Linked DNA regions of Coturnix japonica. The protein of the gene in region 1 interacts with the protein of each later gene in a pairwise test. Links are inferred from orthologs where the notes say so. Each region holds a gene or a part of one and is shown in the gene's direction. Other genes may lie near its edges.

Region 1 (4,243 bases):
TGCAGCCATAATCTCCAGAGAAGTTAAGAATGCAAATGAAGAAGTAGTTCAAGTCGATATTGAAAATACGTAGTAGATTTTTATAAAGATACTAGTGCAGTTTTTCAAATACGTTTCATTGGGCAAGGTTACTTCAAGCTGATATTTATTGTATGTCGACGTTCAACCATCTCTTACTCCATAGGACAAGTTATACTGGGAGGAAAAAAAAAATGAGTAGCTGCCACCTTTTGCATGGTGTTACTGGGACTTCTGATGAGACTGAGATTATTCTTTTTCATTAATTAGCAAAGAACTTTATAGTTAATATGCTGTTACCTACTTTAAGTAGGTAAAGGAGGATGAAGTAAATGAAGGCAAATGTTGATACTGAAAAAAGAAAAAAATCATCTTAGTCATTCTTCTCTGTTGCTCTGAGATTTAGATGTAGTATTCGGTATTAAGTTAGTATTGAAGTATACTTAAAAACTGACAAATCAAATCATGAAACCTTGTAGTATTTTAAGCAATAAGCTAGAAGTAGTACTATGGAATTACCTCCTACAAGTAAGAAACTTGAAATGCTTATTTGAATGTTTATAAAATGTGGCTAATTGCAACAGTCACATAGGTCTTTTTGGTAGATTAAGTGACTTTTTTTCAGGTTCAAAAGGTGCATGGGTGGATGACATTTTTTTGTTGATACCATTTTATGAGTTTTTTAGGACTGTTTTTCCAAAATGCTTCTATACAGCTAGAATCTTGAATTATTAGAAGTGAGATGATACTTCAGAGTTACACTGTGAGTTCTTCCAACTTCTTGCACATAAACTTCTTCCAGTCTCAAGGAGGTATGAGTGCAGGGAACACCTTTCAAAGGCCGGGTAGTCTAGGGTGTGAGGACTTCCACATTTGTGGGTGGCTTTTTGTTTTCTGTGTGCGTTTCAAGGAAAGTGGCTTTTTCAAACAGAAACAGTCATATGGTGTCTGTTTCAGCTAGTTGCCTTAAGGATCTGGCACTACTTTTCTTCTGACTTTAATAAATTCCTGACTCCTTCCTGGCTGCAAAGGTAGCAAATATTTAAGGGGTAGATAAAGGGAGGAGAATGCTGTATATAACTTTGACTTGTTCCAAATCAGAATTGACTGCAATAATGAAAGGAGTGTTCATACTAAAACATTACAGAATACCTCCAGTGAAGGCAGCCGGCTGCGCACAGGTAAAGAACGCAATCAGAAGAAAGAGAAGGCGGACAACGCAGATGGTCAACAGCCGCTGGTGAATGGAGTACCCTAAACTGCATAAGTCTGAAGTCATATTTCCTATACTGTTTCAGTAATTCCTATTCCACGTTAGAGAAACTTGTTAGGCCAAAGACAAATAGTAGGCAAGATGGCGCAGGGCATGAAATGAACATATGTTCTCTGTTAGCCTTTTTTTAACATCAACAGTATGCAGTTGTTTTCAGAATAAAAAGTTATTAAAAATATTTGCATAAAAAATATCTGAATTTCCGAAAATCGCTTTCAAGTACATATTGCACTTCAAACAATTAAAGAATCTTTTTTGTTTGTTTTAAAAATACTGAGCTGTGCATTGGTAAACTTTCTGTTCAGTTGTACCATTTTAACGCACTGGGTCAAAATCACTGCTCAATTTCAATTCTCAGAATAAATAGTGTTTGCAGTAATCAAATTGGCTTCTGTTTTCAATTTAACTTACAAGTTCTTCATGAAATGCTATGTCGTTTTATGTCCTGTGTCAGTTCACGTTCTGGTCCACCTTTTTCAGTATTTTAGTGGACCCTGAAATACGTGTGATGTAACAGTTGTCATTTTCATTAGCAAAAAAAGTTGTATGATCTGTGCCTTTTTTATATCTTGGCAGGTAGGAATAATATATTTGGATGCAGAATTCAGGGAAGATGAGTTGGTAACACTAAATGTAAAATATATGTAGCAATCCTTGTCAGATGTTAGTACTTTATAGACAAGTGCATGCTTTCCATAATTTTTTCCTTACATAAACATTGGGTTAGGCAGTTATAAGAATAGGAAATTTATTTTGCACTGAAGATTTGGCGAGTAGTGTTACTGAAAAAGGGGTTGTAACTTTTTCTTTGTAGGCAGTATAGATTTTTAAAAAATAAAAACCTAAAAAAAAAAAAAACCACAAAAACTTTCCATTGTGGAGAACTTAAAGGAAAAATAAATAAATAAATGAGAAAAAGAAGCAACAACAACAACAAAAAAATACAACTCATTGTTACTAAGGGAACAGAAGTAATTTGTTCACAACTAGTAATGTGTGCCTGCTGTTTGGCCAGATGACCAGTTTAAAGCGCTAATGTTTTTCATCCTCCCGAAAAGTTCCGAATTGTTATTTTAATTTGGGGACTATCTCAGGAGAGGTAGAAAGAAAATCACCATCTTGGAAAGTCCTGGTGTAGTAACTGGAGATACTGTGGTTGGAACAAATCCGTCATATTTTGAGGTATAAGGTCTGTAATACCAGCCCATTGGAATGAGCATTTGATCCAAAGTACAGTCATACACTAGGGAAGGGTGGGAAGTAGGGGGAGGAGCTGTGCTTTCTTTTATTTTTCATCGCACATTAAGCTTAATAGGCACAGCTATATAAGGACCTCCATTTTAATCCAATTTTTTTTTTATTCAAATTACTCCAGAGTGAGAGCCACTCATTATGTACAGAATTGTACAAACTTGACCTTGCCTCTGATGTATTTTGTGAGTTTTGTTTCTTTGCTTCCTACATTCACTGTTTTCCTTGCATACAGGTGAGAATACTAAAAATGGCAACAAACTGCACATGATTTAACAAATATAAAAATGTCTTAAAAAGTATTGCCAAACATTAATGTTGATTTCTAGTTATTTATTTTGGGAATGTATAGTATTTGAAAACAGAAATTGGTACCTTGCACACATCATCTGTAAGCTGTTTGGTTTAAAATACTGTAGATAATTAACCGAGGTAGACTGACCTTGTAATGTAACTGCTCTTGGGCAATATTCTCTGTACATATTAGCTACAACAGATTGGATTTTATGTTGACATTTGTTTGGTTATAGTGCAATATATTTTGTATGCAAGCAGTTTCAATAAAGTTTGATCTTCCTCTGCTAACTGATGTTGATGCAATCCTTATAAATGATTGCTTTAAAAAAATCTCAAGGCAAGTAGAGAGAATATTTCTGTTTAGACCTTAACTGTAGCTTTTGTTACTTCCACGTTCTAGAAACATTCTGGAATATTACCAGTTTTCAAAAATATGGCACATAATGCTCAAGCAAATGTTCTCATTATGAAATGGTACAAAATCTGTTGAGTTGTCACACTATATGCACTATATCTCTTACATTTAGTGGTGAGTTTACTAAGGTGTTAACTAGGTTAAATGTGAAGTTAAACTACAGTTCTGACTAATTAGTCACATTCCGTTTTCAAGTGCATTTTGGAATTATGACCTTTCAGTATTTGTGTACTTAACATGTATCCCTTTCAATTCAAATTCTAGTGTTTTTAAGTGTTATTAAATTTCAACAAATTAAACTGTGAATCTAAATGTTTAGTTTTATTTTGAAAAATCATGTGATAGTATAAAAAGAAAAGCAACAGCAACTTGAAAGTGCAACAAATGTCTGATCCTTGAGTTCAGGTCTGTCGTATCGGTAACTTATAAACTATGGTCCTATGAATTAAAGTTATTTTAAAAATAAAGTTCTTTAAAAAGAGTGAGAGGTATTCGTGAATGATGCCAAAGTTTAAATTCAGTAGGGTTAACCTCAAAGCCTTATAAATCAACAAATGTTTATGGAAGTCTCTGCTTACTTTCTGTATCGATTGCATTTTTGCTAATTTTGTTGGATAGTTAAGATTCTCAGCATTTGCTTAAAATATTGTCAGGAATCAAAATCTTCTCAGGAAAAGATCTATCTTGATGCCTATCTTTATGCCCTTGATGAGTATTTGTGATTTCAAGAAGCAAATCAATTAACTCGAGTATGGAAACTTTTTAGATGACCTATTTGTAAATTGGCTTTTTCTACCACTTTGTGTCACTAAAATAAGATGTTTTTTGCTTGTCCATTTCAACAGGCCAAAAACAAGTAAAGTGCTGCAAGTAAATTGAGTGAGTAGACTCTGTTCTTTGTAGGAACACTTACTGTGAAAGGTAACTTATTTTTCTGAGCTGCAGCGTATTTTCTCTTCAGAACTCTTACACTGAATATTAAAGGAGAA
Region 2 (3,965 bases), on another chromosome or scaffold:
AGAAAAGCAGCCAGAAACACGAGATTTAACAGAGACCCACTGCAGGGAAATACATCTGAGTGCCAAGAAGCCAACTAGTCATGCAGCGTGTGATCTGCTTGCAGACTCCTTATTACACGTGATGAAAGATGAACAGAAGAGAGTTTGACTGGCGGAGCCTGGCCTGACTTTGCTGTATTGAGTCTCGAAAGGCGGATAAAAGCCTTGTATTTGCTGAGCTCTCTTGATCCAAAGCATACTGGTAGGCAGTGAGTGCTATGTTTTATGATGATGATGATTTTATTTCAGATGATCATTTTCATTCCTTTTCCCCCTCGGGATGAGGTGATCTGCCGGATCTCTAGCACTGAGAAACACAGCCCTAAGGCACACACCATCTCATTCAGAGCCCATCCAACTGACCCCGAACACATCGGATTGAGTGCACACAAAAGGCAGGGTCACCCAGCACGCGTGTACAAAGGCTTCAGGGATGCTTCCGGGATGAAGTGAGGGCCATATTCAATACACACACACACCAGAGGGGAAGCACAAAAGCGGAGCCCATCAGCCACGCTGCCTTCTAGATGGTGCCCACACGGAGGAGCTCCTGCCTTAGGAATGAACCCCAGCTGGGCGGCTGGTGTAACTTTGGAGGCCCTGGAGTTTAAGGAGCTTTCAGCCAGTGCTCTCAGTCGTAGGGTCTGATTTTCAGGTGGTCCTTTATGGAGCCCGATGGTCCCTACGGCTCCCTTCGCACTTAGAGTATTCAGTGTTGCTATGAATTCTCAGCCTAGAGAAGGTTGCGGGGTGACCTCATTGCAGCCTTACAATACCTGAAGGGAACTTTACTCCCAGGAGGGAGTAAACTCTTCGAAGGGCTGATAATAGCAGGACTAGGGAAATGGTTTTAAGTTGAAAGAGGGAAGATTTAGGTTGGATGTTAGGGGAAGTTCTTCACTAGGAGAGGGGTAGGTACTGAACAGGCTGCCCAGGGAGGTTGTGGATGCCCCGTCCTTGGAGGTGTTCAAGGCAGGGTGGACGGGGCCCTGCGGCAACGTGATCTAGTAAAGGGTGTATGTTTGGTGGCCCTGTGCCAGGCAGGGGGTTGGAACTACATGATCCTTGAGCCCGCCACTCTCAAGATGGCGGATGGAGCGTCCCCGTAGCAACGCGGGCGCTAGAGGAAGGGGGGCGGGCTTTGGCTGCGCGCTTCCGGTCGGCTCCGGCGGCGACGCGTCAGCGGCGGGGTCGGCCCGGCCACCTCTAAAGGTCTCGGCTTTGATGTGGGGCGAGCGGCGGCAGCGTGTGACCGAGCCGCGGGGCAGCGAGCGGGGCCGGGGCCTGGGAGCACAGAGCGGGGCCTGCTGCGGGACATAAGGGATCGGGGGCACGGCAGTTGCTTAGGAAACAGAACAAGGCTGCTGTGTGAGCGGGGAGCGGGCCGCGGGGTGTGGTGCTGTGCCTGGAGCAGAGCGTGCGGCCACCTGGTCCCTACTTGCAGCCCTCTATCAGGGCACCATTCGTCATTCAGAAATAGATGGGGTGGGAGTTGACGTTGGTGCCCTGGTGACCCGCAGAGAGCGCGGCCTTACGGGGGTTTTGCTCTGTGCTTTCTTCCTAGGGAGTTTACAAGAAGGTGCTTTCAGACGGTCAGGTTCCAGTTAGCGAAAAGGATGTTTGCTGATTTGGATTATGATGTTGAGGAGGATAAGCTGTAAGTACGGCACTCATCTTTTGTTTTTCTGACAATAGAAATAGTCTTCACAGAACAAAACAAATGGCAGCAGATAGATTTCCATGTTGCTGACAAGGCCCAGGGAGACCTGGACAGGCTTGAGCAGTGGGCCAAGGACCCCCTCACTTGGCCAAGTGCAAGGTCTGGTATTGCATATCGGTATTGTAAGGTTTTGCACTTGGGCTGGAAGAACCCCAGGCACCTGTACAGGCTGGGAGGAGTGGTCCTTGAGAGCAGCTCGGCAGAGAAGACCTGGGGGTCCTGATGGACAAAGACTCAAACTGAGCCAGCAGTGCGCTCTGGCAGCCGGAAAGCAAATGGGATCCTGGGCTCCATCAGGAGAGGGGTGGCCAGCAGGGATAGGGAGGTGATTGTCCCTCTCTGCTCTTGTGAGGCCCCATCTGGAGTACTGTGTCCAGGTGTGGAGCCCTCAGTACAAAAAGACATGGAGATTTTGGAAAGGGTCCAGAGGAGGCCACAAAGATGATCAGGGGGCCGAGCACCTCCCCTATGAGGACAGGCTGAGGGAGTTGGGTTTGTCAGCCTGGAGAAGAGAAGGTTGCGGTGACCTCATTGCAGCCTTTCATTACCGAAGGGAATTACCCCAGGAGGGAGAAACTCTTCGAAAGGCTGAAATAGCAGGACAGGGGAAATGGTTTTAAGTTGAAAGAGGGAAGATTTAGGTTGGATGTTAGGGGAAGTTCTTCACTAGAGAGTGGTTAGGTCCTGGAACAGGCTGCCCAGGGAGGTTGTGGATGCCCCGTCCTTGGAGGTGTTCAAGCCAGTTGGACGGGCCTGGGCAACCTGACGTAGTAAATGTGTATGTTTGGTGGCCCTGACAGGCAGGGGGGTTGGAACTACATGATCTTTGAGGTCCCTTCCAACTCGGGTCATTCTGTGATTCTGTGGTACCTGGGCTGTGGCAATTTCCACTACCAGTACAGGCTGGGGGATGGAGCACGGCCCTACCAAAAAGGACTTGGGGACACTGATGGATGGCAGCTGGACATGAGCCAGCAGTGTGCCCTCACAGCCCACAGTGCCAACTGTGTCCTGGGCTGCACCCAAAGGAATGTGGCCATTAGGGAGAGGGAGGTGATCCTGCCCCTCTGCACTGTGTTGTGAGACCTTTCCCAGAGTACTGAGTTGAATGTGGAACCCTCAGTACAGGAGAGATGTGGGCATGTTAGACCTGTTAGAGCACATGCAGAGGAGGGCCACAAAAATGAGATGTTCCAAAGGGATGGAACACCTGCCCTATGAGAGAGGAAGTTGAGAGAGCTAGGGTTGTTCAGCCAGGAGAAGAGAAGGCTCCAGGGAGACCAGAGAGCAGCCTCTCAGTATCTAGAGGGAGACTATAAGAAGAAAAGGGACAGATTCTTTTCTTTGTGATAGGACAAGGAGAAATGGTTTCAGACTAGAAGAGAGATTTAGACTGTATGTAGACTTACTTTCCAATAAGTCTAGTGGAGTTCCAGTAAGGAACAGGTTGTCTGGGGGTGTGGATGCTTCATCCCTGGAGATATTCAAGGTCAGGCTGGAGGGGCTCTGAGCATCCTGATCTAGATGTAGGAGTCTCTTTCCATTGTAGGGGGTTTGTCCAGATGGCCTTTAAGGCTCGTTTCCAACCAACAGTTCTGATTCTAAGACCCGCTGAAGGGTCAGGCTCGCTGCTCAATCCTGACTTCTTGCTACCTTGGGGAATGGGGATGAAGTATTGCTGTCTCTCTCCAAGGACTGCTCTGAGCTTCTTGTTGCAAGGTAGTCCTAGCAGTGAATTAGTGACCTTAGCTAGAGGGAAGAAAAAAAAAAAGGTTTATAATGGAAGACAGTACGAGGCAGCCATAAGTGGAGAAAACCTCTGGAGACCATGGGTTTGTAAGGAGCACTGGAGTTTTTTGAACAAGTTTTATGAAATCAGCAGTTTCTTTGGCATGGAGTTTCGTTTTTGTTGCACATACTGATCTCTTACTCTGACACAAAGGCAGCTCAAACACTGTTTAAAGCAACAGTGTTTCCTCTGCATCTCTCCCTCCTTCACTCTGTGCATGCAGTCTCAAAAACAACAGCTCAGAGTGTCTTCCTGTGTTGTCCTGTGCTTATAGACTCTGTGGCACAGTGTGCTTAATTAAAGTGTACAATGTCTATCATGTGTTCAGTTTTTATCGTCACTGATACCACAGTTGTACAGATACAGCTCTGTCTGCCATGTTCAGTTTTCCACTATCCATCTCCTTTCTCATTCTAG
Region 3 (4,061 bases), on another chromosome or scaffold:
TGTCAGGAGCTTCTGAGCTGCTGCTGCTTCTATAGTCTGGGGGCAACGCTGGTCCTGCAACTGAGCACCCAGAGACATAGGGGATATTTGTTAAACATCTCTCAGAATCATAGAACCATAGAATGGCCTGGGTTGAAGAGGACCACAATGATCACCCAGTTTCAACCCCCTGCTATGTGCAGGGTTGCCAATAACCAGACCAGGCTGCCCAGAGCCACATCCAGCCTGGCCTTGAAATGCCTTCAGGGATGGGACATCCACAGCCTCCTTGGGCAACCTGTTCCAGTGCGTCACCACCCTCTGTGTGAAAAACTTCCTTTTAATATCTAACCTAAACCTCCCCTGTCTCAGTTTAAAGCCATCACCCAGACTTATACAGGATCCATCCTCACACTGCAGCTCTGCTTCTCCCTTCTGGTCACAGAATCACAGAATGACCCGGGTTGGAAGGGACCTCAAGGATCATGTAGTTCCAACCCCCCTGCCTGGCAGGGCCACCAAACATACACATTTACTAGATCCAGGTTGCCCCAGGGCCCCGTTCCAACCTGGTCTTGAAACCCTCCAGGACGGGGCATCCACAACTCCCTGGGCAGCTGTTCCAGGGCTAACCACTCTCCTAGTGAAGAACTTCCCCCTAACATCCAACCTAAATCTGCCCTCTTTTAACTTAAACATTTCCCCGTGTCCTGCTATTGTCAGCCCTTTTGAAGAGTTTACTCCCCTCCTGGGTGTAGGTTCCCTTCAGGTATTGAAAGGCTGCAATGAGGTCACCCCGCAGCTTTCTCTTCTCTAGGCTGAACAAGCCCAACTCCCTCAGCCTGTCCTCATAGTGGCGGTGCTCCAGCCCCCTGATCATCTTTGTGGCCCTCCTCTGGACCCTTAACAAAATCTCCATGTCTTTCTTGTAATGAGGGCTCCACACCTGGACACAGTACTCCAGATGGGGAAAGCACTGTGGCAGTACAGCACTGCCACACCTCAGCACTGTCACACCTCAGCCCGTTCCCACTCATCCCGTTCCCGCCCCCTCCCCTCAGCGCTGAGCTCACCCTGCCCCAGCTCCTCATCCGGGTCCTGTTCCGCGCAGCGCGGGAAGCCGGGCGGCAGCGCGGGGCCGATCATTTCGCGCGCCATGTTGGGGGGCGGGGCCGAGCCGGTGACGTCAGAGCTGCGCCGGCTTAACCCCGGAAGAAGGAGACGGGAAGCGGAAGTGACGCATTTAGTGGCGGCCGGGCTGTAGGAGCGGCTGGTCACGCGGCGGGCATGCAGCCGGGCGGCGAGTTGGGCTCCGCCGTCAGCCCGTTCGGATGGTTCCCACCGCTTCGCCCGCCGCTCTTTTGCCCTCCGCCCCCTTGGGAACATGGCTTATGGCCGCCGCCCGACGGCTACGCCCCGCCGCCGGCATGGTACCCGCCGGCCTACCAGGAGCCCACGAGGCGGCCGCAGGGTAGTGAGTGGGGGGGGTCCCGTCACCTTGTTTCCTTTTCCCTTCTATTTAGTACTTATTACTATTATTTTCTCTGATCCTCCGACCTCGATTTGAGTCTGCAGGGTCCCTCTCCCCCCCCCCACATCTGGTCCCACATGCTTGTGAGACTCATTGGCTGCAGCAATTGAAACCGACTGTTGTGTTGTGTGGGTTTTTCGTTTGTTCTTTAAGGTGGAAATGGCCATTTTCAGCAGGAATGGCAAGGAGAGCAAGCACCTGGCTTCCATAAGCGTTCTCCTGGTGGAAACAACAAGCAGAAGGTACAGATGGGCTGTATGCCCTTTGGAGTTTCCTTTCTGTTATAACTGTTCTGTGATGCTGGGATGGAGGTGGCCATGTGGGGCTTGTGTCCCTGTTTTGGATGTGCATCACGAAGATGATCAGGGGGCTGGAGCACCTCCCCTATGAGGACAGGCTGAGGGAGTTGGGCTTGTTCAGCCTGGAGAAGAGAAGGTTGCGGGGTGACCTCATTGCAGCCTTTCAATACCTGAAGGGAACTTACTCCCAGGAGGGGAGTAAACTCTTCAAAGGGCTGACAGTAGCAGGACACGGGGAAATGGTTTTAAGTTGAAAGAGGGAAGATTTAGGTTGGATGTTAGGGGGAAGTTCTTCACTAGGAGAGTGGTTAGGCCCTGGAACAGGCTGCCCAGGGAGGTTGTGGATGCCCCGTCCTTGGAGGTGTTCAAGACCAGGTTGGACGGGGCCCTGGGCAACCTGATCTAGTAAATGTGTATGTTTGGTGGCCCTGCCAGGCAGGGGGGTTGGAACTACATGATCCTTGAGGTCCCTTCCAACCCGGCTCATTCTGTGATTCTGTGCATGACAAGCAAAATAAGTGTGGTTCCCTTGCATGACTGAGGAAGTGATTCTTCCTCCTGGACTGTCCTCGTGAGGCTTCACCTGCAGTATTTTATCCGGGATATGAATTTGGAGTCAGTCTAGAACAGGCCACAGGGATGAGGGCTGGAGTGTTTCTCCTGTAGAGTAAGGAAGGGAGAGTGGGGTATGCTCTTGGATGTCAGGGGGAAGCTCTTTACAGTGGGAGTGGTGAGGTGCTGGAACAGGCTGTCCAGAGAGGTTGTGTGTGCTCTGTCACTGGAGGTGCCGGAGACCAGGTTGGGTGGAGCCCTGTTCTAGTGCTAGATCTGGAGATTGGTGGCCCTGCCTATGGCAGGGGAGTTGGAACTTGATCCATGGGGTCCCTTCCAACCCAAAGAGTTCTATGGTAAGTGGAGGCTCTGGAGAAGCCTCATTGTGGCCTTCCAGTACTTAAAAGGGGCATATAGGGAAGTTAGGGAGGGGATATTCATATTCATCAGATAGCGTGAGAGAGCAAGAGGTAGCAGTTTCAATCTCATCTATATCTACGTTGTTAACTATAAGGAAGAAATAATCTGCTTCGGGCAGTGAGGCACTGGCACAGCTGTCCAGAGAAGCTGTGGGTGCCCCATCCCTACAGGCATGTAAGACCACATTGGATGGGGCCCTGGGCAGCCTCAGCTGCTGTGTGGCAGCCCTGCACATGGCAGGAGGCTGGAAACTGGTTGGGCTTTAAGTTTCCTTCCAACTGAGGCCTCAAACCCTGAGCTCAATGAAGGGATCAAATCCTAAAATGCATAATCTCAATAAAAGCCTTTATTTTGATGGTGCCCAGATGCATAAAACACTTCAGTGGTTCATTATGTTTTCAGACCCTGACAACCTCATCACTTTGCTGTGATGGTGGGAGGGGGAAAGGTCCCTACTGCCCCTTGAGCTCCTACCTGGGATATTAGAACAGGCGTAGACTTGACTCTATGGGGAGGAGATGTGTGGAGCTGTAGCCCTGGCTCTTCTCCAAGCTGCTGCTAAGCCTGTGTCTGCAGAAGTGATTATAGAAGGGTAGTAGCAGGAAGAACTGAGTGTACTGCATTTTGTTTAAAAAATAAATGATATGAATTGTTAATGTATAGCTTTGTTAATATAGATCATTTTGAATGTTTTATTGGAATTATTACTGAAATATTTCCGATTTTATTAAATCTTATCTAATTAAACAGGGAGCACCTTGTAACCTTTTAACTTCTATGCTGGATTTTTATTTTTTTTTTCCTTCCTCTTAGAACAAAAAAAAGAAGGAGCCAGTTTTCTCTCACTATTGCGATACCTGTGACCGAGGCTATAAAAACCAGGAGAAGTACGATGAACATATTTCACAGCATATACAGGTTGAACTTTACTTGCGTTATTTTTATTTCAATCTCTAGTTTCATATATGAACTGTAGAGCTCACATATGCCAGTTCACGGAGTGCTGTAGGCACTCTTATGATGATAGACCTAGCAACAGATTCCTGAGCTGCTAGGAGATTTTTTTATACACTGTGTCTAGGGAAGCTTTCAGTTGTGTTTTTGGCTTTATTGCTCAAGTCATTTTAATGTTCTTCTGAATCATTGTTAATTCACTCCAGCATTATGAGCAACTTCACTGACATTAGCGTAGCACATGAAATATGTGTGAAAATGCTTTATGTGGTAGAGATTTTATGATGCATTCCCTTACTGCAAAGAAGTAACACAATTTGAAGTTG

The links.
Region 2: the proteins of FMR1 (region 1) and PICK1 interact in a two-hybrid assay, tested with the Homo sapiens proteins (2 studies listed by BioGRID and IntAct). The link is inferred for Coturnix japonica from reciprocal best matches to the Homo sapiens genes FMR1 and PICK1.
Region 3: the proteins of FMR1 (region 1) and NUFIP1 interact in a two-hybrid assay, tested with the Homo sapiens proteins (2 studies listed by BioGRID). The link is inferred for Coturnix japonica from reciprocal best matches to the Homo sapiens genes FMR1 and NUFIP1.

What each region holds. Positions count from the first base shown.
Region 1 is NC_029519.1:17,270,956-17,275,198, reverse strand, and holds the end of FMR1 (synaptic functional regulator FMR1), read left to right. Parts: intron 1-1,165; coding exon 1,166-1,276; 3' UTR 1,277-3,735; downstream 3,736-4,243.
Region 2 is NC_029516.1:46,560,801-46,564,765, reverse strand, and holds the start of PICK1 (PRKCA-binding protein), read left to right. Parts: upstream 1-1,163; 5' UTR 1,164-1,251; intron 1,252-1,277; exon of another isoform or gene 1,278-1,407; intron 1,408-1,603; 5' UTR 1,604-1,655; coding exon 1,656-1,696; intron 1,697-3,965. UniProt on the Homo sapiens protein: Probable adapter protein that bind to and organize the subcellular localization of a variety of membrane proteins containing some PDZ recognition sequence.
Region 3 is NC_029516.1:150,056,784-150,060,844, reverse strand, and holds the start of NUFIP1 (nuclear fragile X mental retardation-interacting protein 1), read left to right. Parts: upstream 1-1,259; 5' UTR 1,260-1,266; coding exon 1,267-1,453; intron 1,454-1,663; coding exon 1,664-1,752; intron 1,753-3,594; coding exon 3,595-3,699; intron 3,700-4,061. Other genes in the region: GPALPP1 (GPALPP motifs-containing protein 1), read right to left, coding at 1-60, 1,053-1,137. UniProt on the Homo sapiens protein: Binds RNA.